Notamacropus eugenii: one gene and its partner. The protein of the gene in region 1 purifies or fractionates together with the protein of each later gene. This does not show direct contact. Links are inferred from orthologs where the notes say so. Each region holds a gene or a part of one and is shown on either strand. Other genes may lie near its edges.

The links. The genes of interacting proteins can lie anywhere in the genome.
Region 2: the proteins of CUL5 (region 1) and SOCS7 purify together in Homo sapiens (affinity purification with mass spectrometry; 4 studies listed by BioGRID and IntAct, counting the BioPlex papers as one, with this or other methods). This does not show direct contact. The link is inferred for Notamacropus eugenii from reciprocal best matches to the Homo sapiens genes CUL5 and SOCS7.

The regions. Positions count from the first base shown.
Region 1 is NC_092876.1:146,963,246-146,966,990, reverse strand, and holds the start of CUL5 (cullin-5), read left to right. Parts: upstream 1-1,529; 5' UTR 1,530-2,023; coding exon 2,024-2,047; intron 2,048-3,745. UniProt on the Homo sapiens protein: Core component of multiple cullin-5-RING E3 ubiquitin-protein ligase complexes (ECS complexes, also named CRL5 complexes), which mediate the ubiquitination and subsequent proteasomal degradation of target proteins.
Region 2 is NC_092873.1:353,876,134-353,879,878, forward strand, and holds the start of SOCS7 (suppressor of cytokine signaling 7), read left to right. Parts: upstream 1-1,121; 5' UTR 1,122-1,325; coding exon 1,326-2,398; intron 2,399-3,745. UniProt on the Homo sapiens protein: Substrate-recognition component of a cullin-5-RING E3 ubiquitin-protein ligase complex (ECS complex, also named CRL5 complex), which mediates the ubiquitination and subsequent proteasomal degradation of target proteins, such as DAB1 and IRS1.

The DNA.
Region 1 (3,745 bases):
GGTTTAACATGGTGGGGTACAGGGATTGCTTATATACATAAGTGAGCTGAACTATGAAATAATTATTCTTAGGTCTTGAGTAGCTGTTCCAGGATGCTTCATGCGTGGACAAGGTGTTCCTGGGTCCTGTGGGAACAGTCTCCAAGTTGATTGTCTCACAGTGGGGTACAGTACCTGGTTTGGTTCATTTAGCTGCTACAAGGAACAGGGATTGTGAACAAGTCAAGCAAAGTGATGGATGGATCTCAAGTCCCTGGGAAATAGGGAGCAGTGAACACCCAGTGCTAGTCAAAGCAATGCACTCTGTCAGAGGTTATCCAGAGTGCAAAGGATTGTTGTCATGCAGTGTACAGCCTGCTTGCTGGGTCTTATTTACCTCTGGAGAACAAGGTGCCTCCAAAATATTTTGACAGAATATGTTAATAGGGACAGCTATGGGGAAAGTGTTCTGGGTCTGGAGTCAGGAGGACTCATCTTCCTGAGTTCAAATCTGGTCTCAGACACTTACTAGCTGTGTAACCCTGGGCATGTCATTTAACCCTGTTTGTCTCAATTTTCTCATCTGTAAAATGGGCTAGAGTGGGCCATGGCAAAACTACTCCACAGTATCTTTGCCAAGAAAACCCCAAATGGGGTCACAAAGAGTGGAACACTAAACAATAACAAAACATATTTAGTAATAATAGCGCCTACTATGTGCCAGGCACTGTGTCAAGCGCTTTTACAAATGTTATCTCATTTCGTCCTCACCACAACCCTCGTGGTCTCTTCCACCCCCACCCCCTTTAAACTGTAAGCTCCTCCAGGGCAGGGACTTGCTTGGGGAGGGCAACTGGCAGAAATGACATGGGCAGCTCTTTCAGGCGTTTGCGCGTGAGTGAGATGGAGCCCCAACTCGGCGGTCTGAGCAGATGAGAGTGTCATTAGGATGTTTTTAAGGACGAAGGAGACTTGGGGGGGAGGGGCTGGAGGGGGAATGAATATTAGAGCGACCGCCGATGACCAAAGCTCCTTGGGGACTGCTTCATTCTTGCATTCATTCCCCAGCGCCTGTCACCTAGCAGGAGCTTCATCACTGGAAACCTAGCTCAGAGAATAAACGTCTGTGTGACCCTGGCCAAGTCACTTAACTTACCTCAGCTTCATCCGTAGCATAAGGACAATGGCACCCCCCTCACGAGGTACTCATGGGGAATTGGGGAGATAATATACCTAAAGTCCTTTGCACTTCTTCAAAGGCCACATAAATGCTATTATTGTTCATCAATACTTGTTGATTGATCCATGAGGGTCTGGAGCAGGAAGGTGCATCTCTCTCTATCAGAGAGTGAACGCAAGGAGTGGAGAATGGGGCGAATCCCGAAAAGCTCCATACTATTGGTCCCCTTTTGCGGCTTCCCTCCTCCCACACCAGTGATTTTTTTTAATGTCCTCGAGGGGGCGGGGAAGGGGCGGAGCAAGGAGGCCTCTGCCCCTTTAAGGTCACGACCAGGAGACGGCTGACCCGGGCGCCTCCCCGCCCCTTCCTCCTCCTTGGGTTCCCAGCTTCACCCGGGGCTCGCCGAGGCCCGAGCCCTCCCCAGCTTCAGGGCCACGTGACTCGGCCCCAGCCTCAGCAGCTCGGCCGCGGGGCTCCCTGTATTCCCGAGATTGGCTGCGGGCGTGACCATGACGGCCTGAGCTCACGGGGTAGGGGCGGCTCGTCCCGGCTGTGCGCTCGTCGCCTCTTCCCCCCCTTCCCGGCTCTTCTTGTCTTCGCTGTGCTGACTGTCTCCGGGTCTTCGCCGGGGTTCGCATGAGCTCTTCCCTGGCGGGGGAGCCCCCCGTGAGCATGTAAAGGGAAGGGGGGGCGAACGAACCAGTCCGCGGCCCCGGGCTGAGAGCGCCCCTAGCCCAGGCCACCCTCCCTTCCCCCATCGGCAGCGCGGGGCCGGGCCGGGAGGTCCGGCGGGAGAGGCCGCAGCAGAGCCGGCGAGCTCTCGGAAATCTCGCGCAGTCCCGCGAGAGGATAAGTTGAGGGAACATGGCGACGTCTAATCTGTTAAAGGTAAGAGCCCCACTCCTGCCATTCCTCACCGCCTCTCCGAGCTCGGCCACGGCGGCCCGCGCTGGGAAAGTAGCACGCCGGGATCCGGGGGCGGGTACTGTGCCGGATCCGACGACGGCGCCGGCAGTGACAGCGGTGATTGAGGGGACACTCTCCCCGGGCGCTGGGGGGAAGGGCCCTTGCTTCCCCCCCACCAGTTGCCGTGTGTCCGTGTGTCTGTGTCTGTGTGTGTAGCCGGCGGGTTCGTGGGGAGCCTTGCGATCACTCACCGGAACGCTCGTTTCGGGGACGTGGGGTACATTTCCTCTTTAGAGGGTCCCCCACTCCCCCAGCTGTCAAGGATTTAAGCCGTAGACGAGGAAGGTCTGAGGAAAGCCTGGGCTGTCGGATGCTGCTCCCATTCACCTCACCCCCTTTCCCCAAGCCAGACAGGATTTGTAGGACCCCCCCTCCAATTAGTTTGCAGGACCCTCCACCCCAATCCTTTCCTGTTTCCTTCCTCTGAAGATTTCAGGTTCTGCTCCTATGTTTCAGCTTCTTTAAGGACTTGAACTCTTGATACAACACAATAATAAGATGTTGGAGAATTTTTAGAAATCTCTTCTTTCTAAAGAAAGTAATTTTGTGCAAGGGTAAACTGTTTCAGTTTTTTTGGGTGTTTGACAGGGACAGTGTTGGAGGTAGGTCTCCATAAGCAGGCTAAGAGGGGATGCAAATGAATTGAAAGAGTCAGTGCATCCCCATGTTATTTTATAGTAATGTTAACATTGGAAACTTTTTACCTACATGGATTCAAAGCGGATGAGGAAACAGGCCTATATCAAGAAGTTAAGTGACTTGCCCAAGGTCACATAGTCCGTTTGAAGAGTAATAGAAGCTAACTTTTCACTCTGGGGCCTTTTCTTGTTTAGTACCCTGTATTTCTGATTAGTTTTGAAAGCTTGAATTTTTTCCTAATTTCATCCTCTCTATTTGAACTAGTCAATTATGTTCACTTCCCATGTCACAAATCACTTTTCTCGTATCAAATCATAGTACCAGTTAAATCAATTTTGTCTATATTTGATTACTTAAACATAACAATTTGACGTTTGAAGTCAAAACTGATTTGAACGTGGGTGATGGTTTGGGTACCATTTTCCATGTTGTGCAAACAATTTAAACTGGTGTGTGTGTGTGTATCTGTCTGTCTATCTATCTTCTTGTTTGTGTGTATTCCAAAGTCAATTTTTCTTTTGGGGAGGGAAAGGAATGCTGATTAGTATTGGCAAATTTCTTTTTTGGTGTCACTTGAGGCCCTTTTTAGTTTGAAAGCTTTTTCTCTGCTGAGATTCTTTTTTGCTTTTCAGCCTCTTTACTATTTAAGGCTTATGTTTTTATGTGTTATTTTTTTCTGTATGGAGAAGAGAATTAAGTGGTCAGTAGGGGATTTGTGCAGAATTCATCTAATTCATGCGACATTTATTAAACACTTACTGTGGCCTAAACCCTGTGCCTAGGTTCTAGGGGAAATTCCAAGCTTAAAATGGTCAGTAGTATCCCTAGAGCCAGGTGTTCTTGATCTTTTTTTGTATTATTTACCCCTTTTGGTCTATATCCCTTTTTCAGAATAGTGTTTTTAAATGCATAAAATAAAATGTTGGATTACAAATGAAAGCTAATTATATTGGAATAAAATTAAAAAATAATTAAATTAAA
Region 2 (3,745 bases), on another chromosome or scaffold:
CAGACCAGGTCTTCTGCTTGAGCTCAGCCTTCTTTCCTTTACACCTGGATGCCTCCATCTCCTTTCCTGCAATAGATTTTGCATCCCCGGCCACTATCTCCAATTCTGTTTGAGAAGCTCAAATGGCACTGACTGACTGTGCTCAGCCACCTGAGCACAGGGCTCTGAACAGTAATCTCCTGTAGTGACAAGCCTTATGAGCTGTGGAAGATTACCAGCTATTCCAGGTCACAAGCAAGATATAGGATGTGCAGGAGGGGAGGGAGGGATGCAGAGTGAGGGCAGAATAAAACACAGCTGCCCTGGAACCCAGAAGGCATTGTGATACAGTCGAAAAAGCTCTGGGATTCAGGGATTTGAGCCTAATTCTCGCCTCCGAGGCCGATTAAATTTCTTATAATTCCAAGGGTCTCAGTTTCCTCATCTGGGAAATGAGGTGGTTGGACTAGATCTGAGGTCCCTTCCAGAGGCAGGTCTGTAGACCTGGCCAAGTCAGGTCAGAGAATGACACTTTTGATCCTTTCTTTGACTTTGTCTGCCTTTTTTTTTTTGGTGTGGGGGGAATGGAAAGTTTCAGTTTTCCCAGGGCTGAGGACACAGACGTTGGAAGGGGAGAGAGGAGAGGGAAAGTGAAAAGAGAAGAAAGAGAAATGAGGAGGGAGGGTGGGAAAGGAAAGGAGAGGAAAGGGCAGAGGAGGGGGGAGAGAAGAGGGAAGGGGAGGGAGACAATAAGAATATTGGTGGAAAAGAATGAAGTACTTTGACTTCGAAGACCGCGTGCGAACGAAGAAGCGCGGGGTTTTTAGTCAAGAGGAGGGTGGAAGGAAAATTGAGTGACGTTCGTCGCGGTGCGAGGCACTTCACAAACATGTGCCCCAGATCCTGACACTGACACAGACCCAGCCCCGGCAAAAGAGGAAGTTGCGTCTGAGCGTGGGGGAGGAGAGCAGGGAAGAGGGCGGGGCTTGGTCACTCACGGAAGTGACGTTAGACCGGGGCGGGGGGCAGCTTACGGCGGCGGCGCGCGGCTGGGCTCGCGCCGGGCTCCCCGGCCTGCGCTTCCCCCTCCTCCCCCGAGCCCCCGCCCCCTCCCTCCCCTTTGCTGCCTCCTCCTCCTCCTCCTCCCTCTTCTCCGCCCCCGCCTCCTCCTCCGCCTCCTCTTCCTCCTCCTCCTCGCCGCCGCCGCCGCGCTCCATGAAGCGGAGGCCGCAGCGGCCGTTGGCGCTGTCGCTCCCGCTCCCGGGGCCGCGGCGGGCGGGGCTCCGGCGGGGCCCAGCCTAGTCCCCTGCGGTCCCTCGCTCCGCGCCTCGCTCCCGCCTTCTCCGATGCAGGGGACCGAGCTCCGGGACGGCGAGGCGGCGGCGGCGGCGGCGGCGGCAGCGGCGGCCTCGTACCGCGTCCTGAGCCGCCTGCTGGGCTACGGAGAAGCGGCCTCGGAGCCGGCCCCGCCGCCGCTACCGCCGCCGGCCCCGGGCCATGGACCCCATCCGCCGCCCCCGGCCCAGAGCCCGCTCCCGCCGCCGCCGCCGCCCTTCCTGCCGAGGCCGGGACCCCGGAATTCCCGGCCGCCGCAGCTGATGGTGTTCCGCAACGTAGGGCGGCCGCCCGAGGAGGAGGAGGCGGCGGCGGCGGGAGCTGGGCCGGGGCCCTCGGAGCTGCTGTGCCCCCGGCACCGTTGCACCCTGGACCCCAAGGCCCTGCCGCCGGGGCTGGGGTTGGGGCTGGGCCTAGGGCTGGGGTTGGAGCGGGGCTGGGGCCCGGCGGCGGCGGCCGCGGCGGCCGCGGGGCTGGAGGCCCACCTGGCAGCTCTGGGGCTGGGGCCGGCCAGCAAGGTCCCGGGGCCCGCCGGGGGCAGCTGTCCGTGCGCCCCGCAGCCGCCCGCGCCGCAGCCCCCACCGCCCGCCGCGGCCCCGCAGGCGGGAGAGGACCCCACGGAGACGAGCGACGCGCTGCTAGTGCTGGAGGCGCTGGAGTCGGAGGCCGAGAGCCTGGAGACCAACAGCTGCTCGGAGGAGGAGCTCAGCAGCCCGGGCCGGGGGGCGGGCGGAGGAGGAGGCGGCGGCGGCGGCCGATCGGTGTCCCTGCAACCCCTGGCCCCGGAGCTGCCGCCCGCGCCCTTCCCGCTGCAGGACCTGGTGCCCCCGGGGCGGCCCTCCCGAGTGGAGCCCCCGCCGCCCCCGCAGCAGCAGCCCTCGGCGCCCCTCCGGCCGCCCCTGGGCACCTCCCGCAAGGGCTCGCTCAGAATCCGCCTCAGTCGCCTCTTCCGCACGAAGAGCTGTAACGGGGCCTCGGCCAACGGGGATGCGGCCGGCAAGAGGCCTCCGGGGGAGCTGGCTGCCTCCTCTGTGAGTCTCACCGACGTGGGAGGCCCCAGGGCCCGGGAGCCAGAGGCGGGGAGGTGAGCTTGCCGGCGGGGAAGGGGTGGGGGGCGCTGGTTGTCAGATACTGCCCTTGTCCCGCATACTCCTACCCCCTCCCCTTTTTCTCCCTTCTTTTCCTTTTCTCTCCCTCTTGTCTTCCTCCTCTCCCTTCTCTTCCCGCCTCTCTCTTCCTCCCTCTTTTCCCCCCTCTTTCTTTCCACCTTTTCTGTCCCCCTCTAAAACCTCTCTTCTCCCTCCTCTTCTCTCCCCTTTTGCCCCTCCTTCCCCTCTTTCTTCCTCTGCACCCCTCTTCCCTCCTCTATCTTTCTCTTTCCCCTCTTTTTTTCTTCAATCTCTCCCCCCTCTCCCTCTTTCTCTAACCCCTCTTGCTCCTTCCCCCATTCTTCCCCAAACTCCTTCCCTTCATCTTTCCTTATTCTTCCCCTTGTCCCTTTCTTTTCCCTTCTCCCCTTCTCCTTCCCCTAATAGGATCTTCTTGAGTTTCCAGGGACCATGTTGAAATAAATAAGACTGGAGGAATGGCACCTCCACTTACTCTTCGAGGACTTAGTGAATTTTATAACTGGTAGAGGAGTAGGTTCCGAAGTCTCCCCCACACTTAAGAATTCTCAGTTAACCTGACCTGGGTGCAGGACTCTTGAACGTAGGCTGATATGACCTGTTACTGGTCTTCACTTTCTATATAGTGCCTTTCATCCTTCCCCTCTGACTTCATGAGTAGCTTCTCATGAGTCAGATTTGTGGTCTTTTGGGATTAGGATTCAGATATTTCTCCCATTTCTTCAGAGGTATTTCCTAGTGTACTCTAGAGTTCACTTCCTTGGCTAATAGGGTCATAAGGCAGAGCAGTTTGAGTCCTCTTGAAACTGGAGCAGAACTTTAGTTTTAGAAACTTAAGTTCCCCAAGTGTATTATAAGGGATCCATGCTGTGTATTGCCAATCTAATTGTGGGCCAGTTGGTGAAAATTCTGGTTTAGAAAAGGACTTTAATTTTCTTCATTTCTGAATGGAGGTGGAATTTTCTGTTAAAGATGTAACTGACAACATTAGTACTGTAGTGCTGATTTAGAAGACTGGATAACTGGTTTCTATCTAGTGGCATTGCAGCTTCACTTGTGAAGACTGCTCTTACGGTTTCATTTCCTGAGTGTTACACACACACACACACACACACACACAGACACCCCCCCCCCCACCTCCCCCCCCCACCTTATGAGTGACATATTCCTGAAGAAGTCTCCATTGTACTGGCATAAGCCTGGGCCATATGGCAGTACCTAGAAGTGAAGAAGGTGGGATCGAGTCAATAGGTGGTGGTCGGAGCAGGCACCTGTATTTCACCGTTTGGTATTGTCTTCATTTT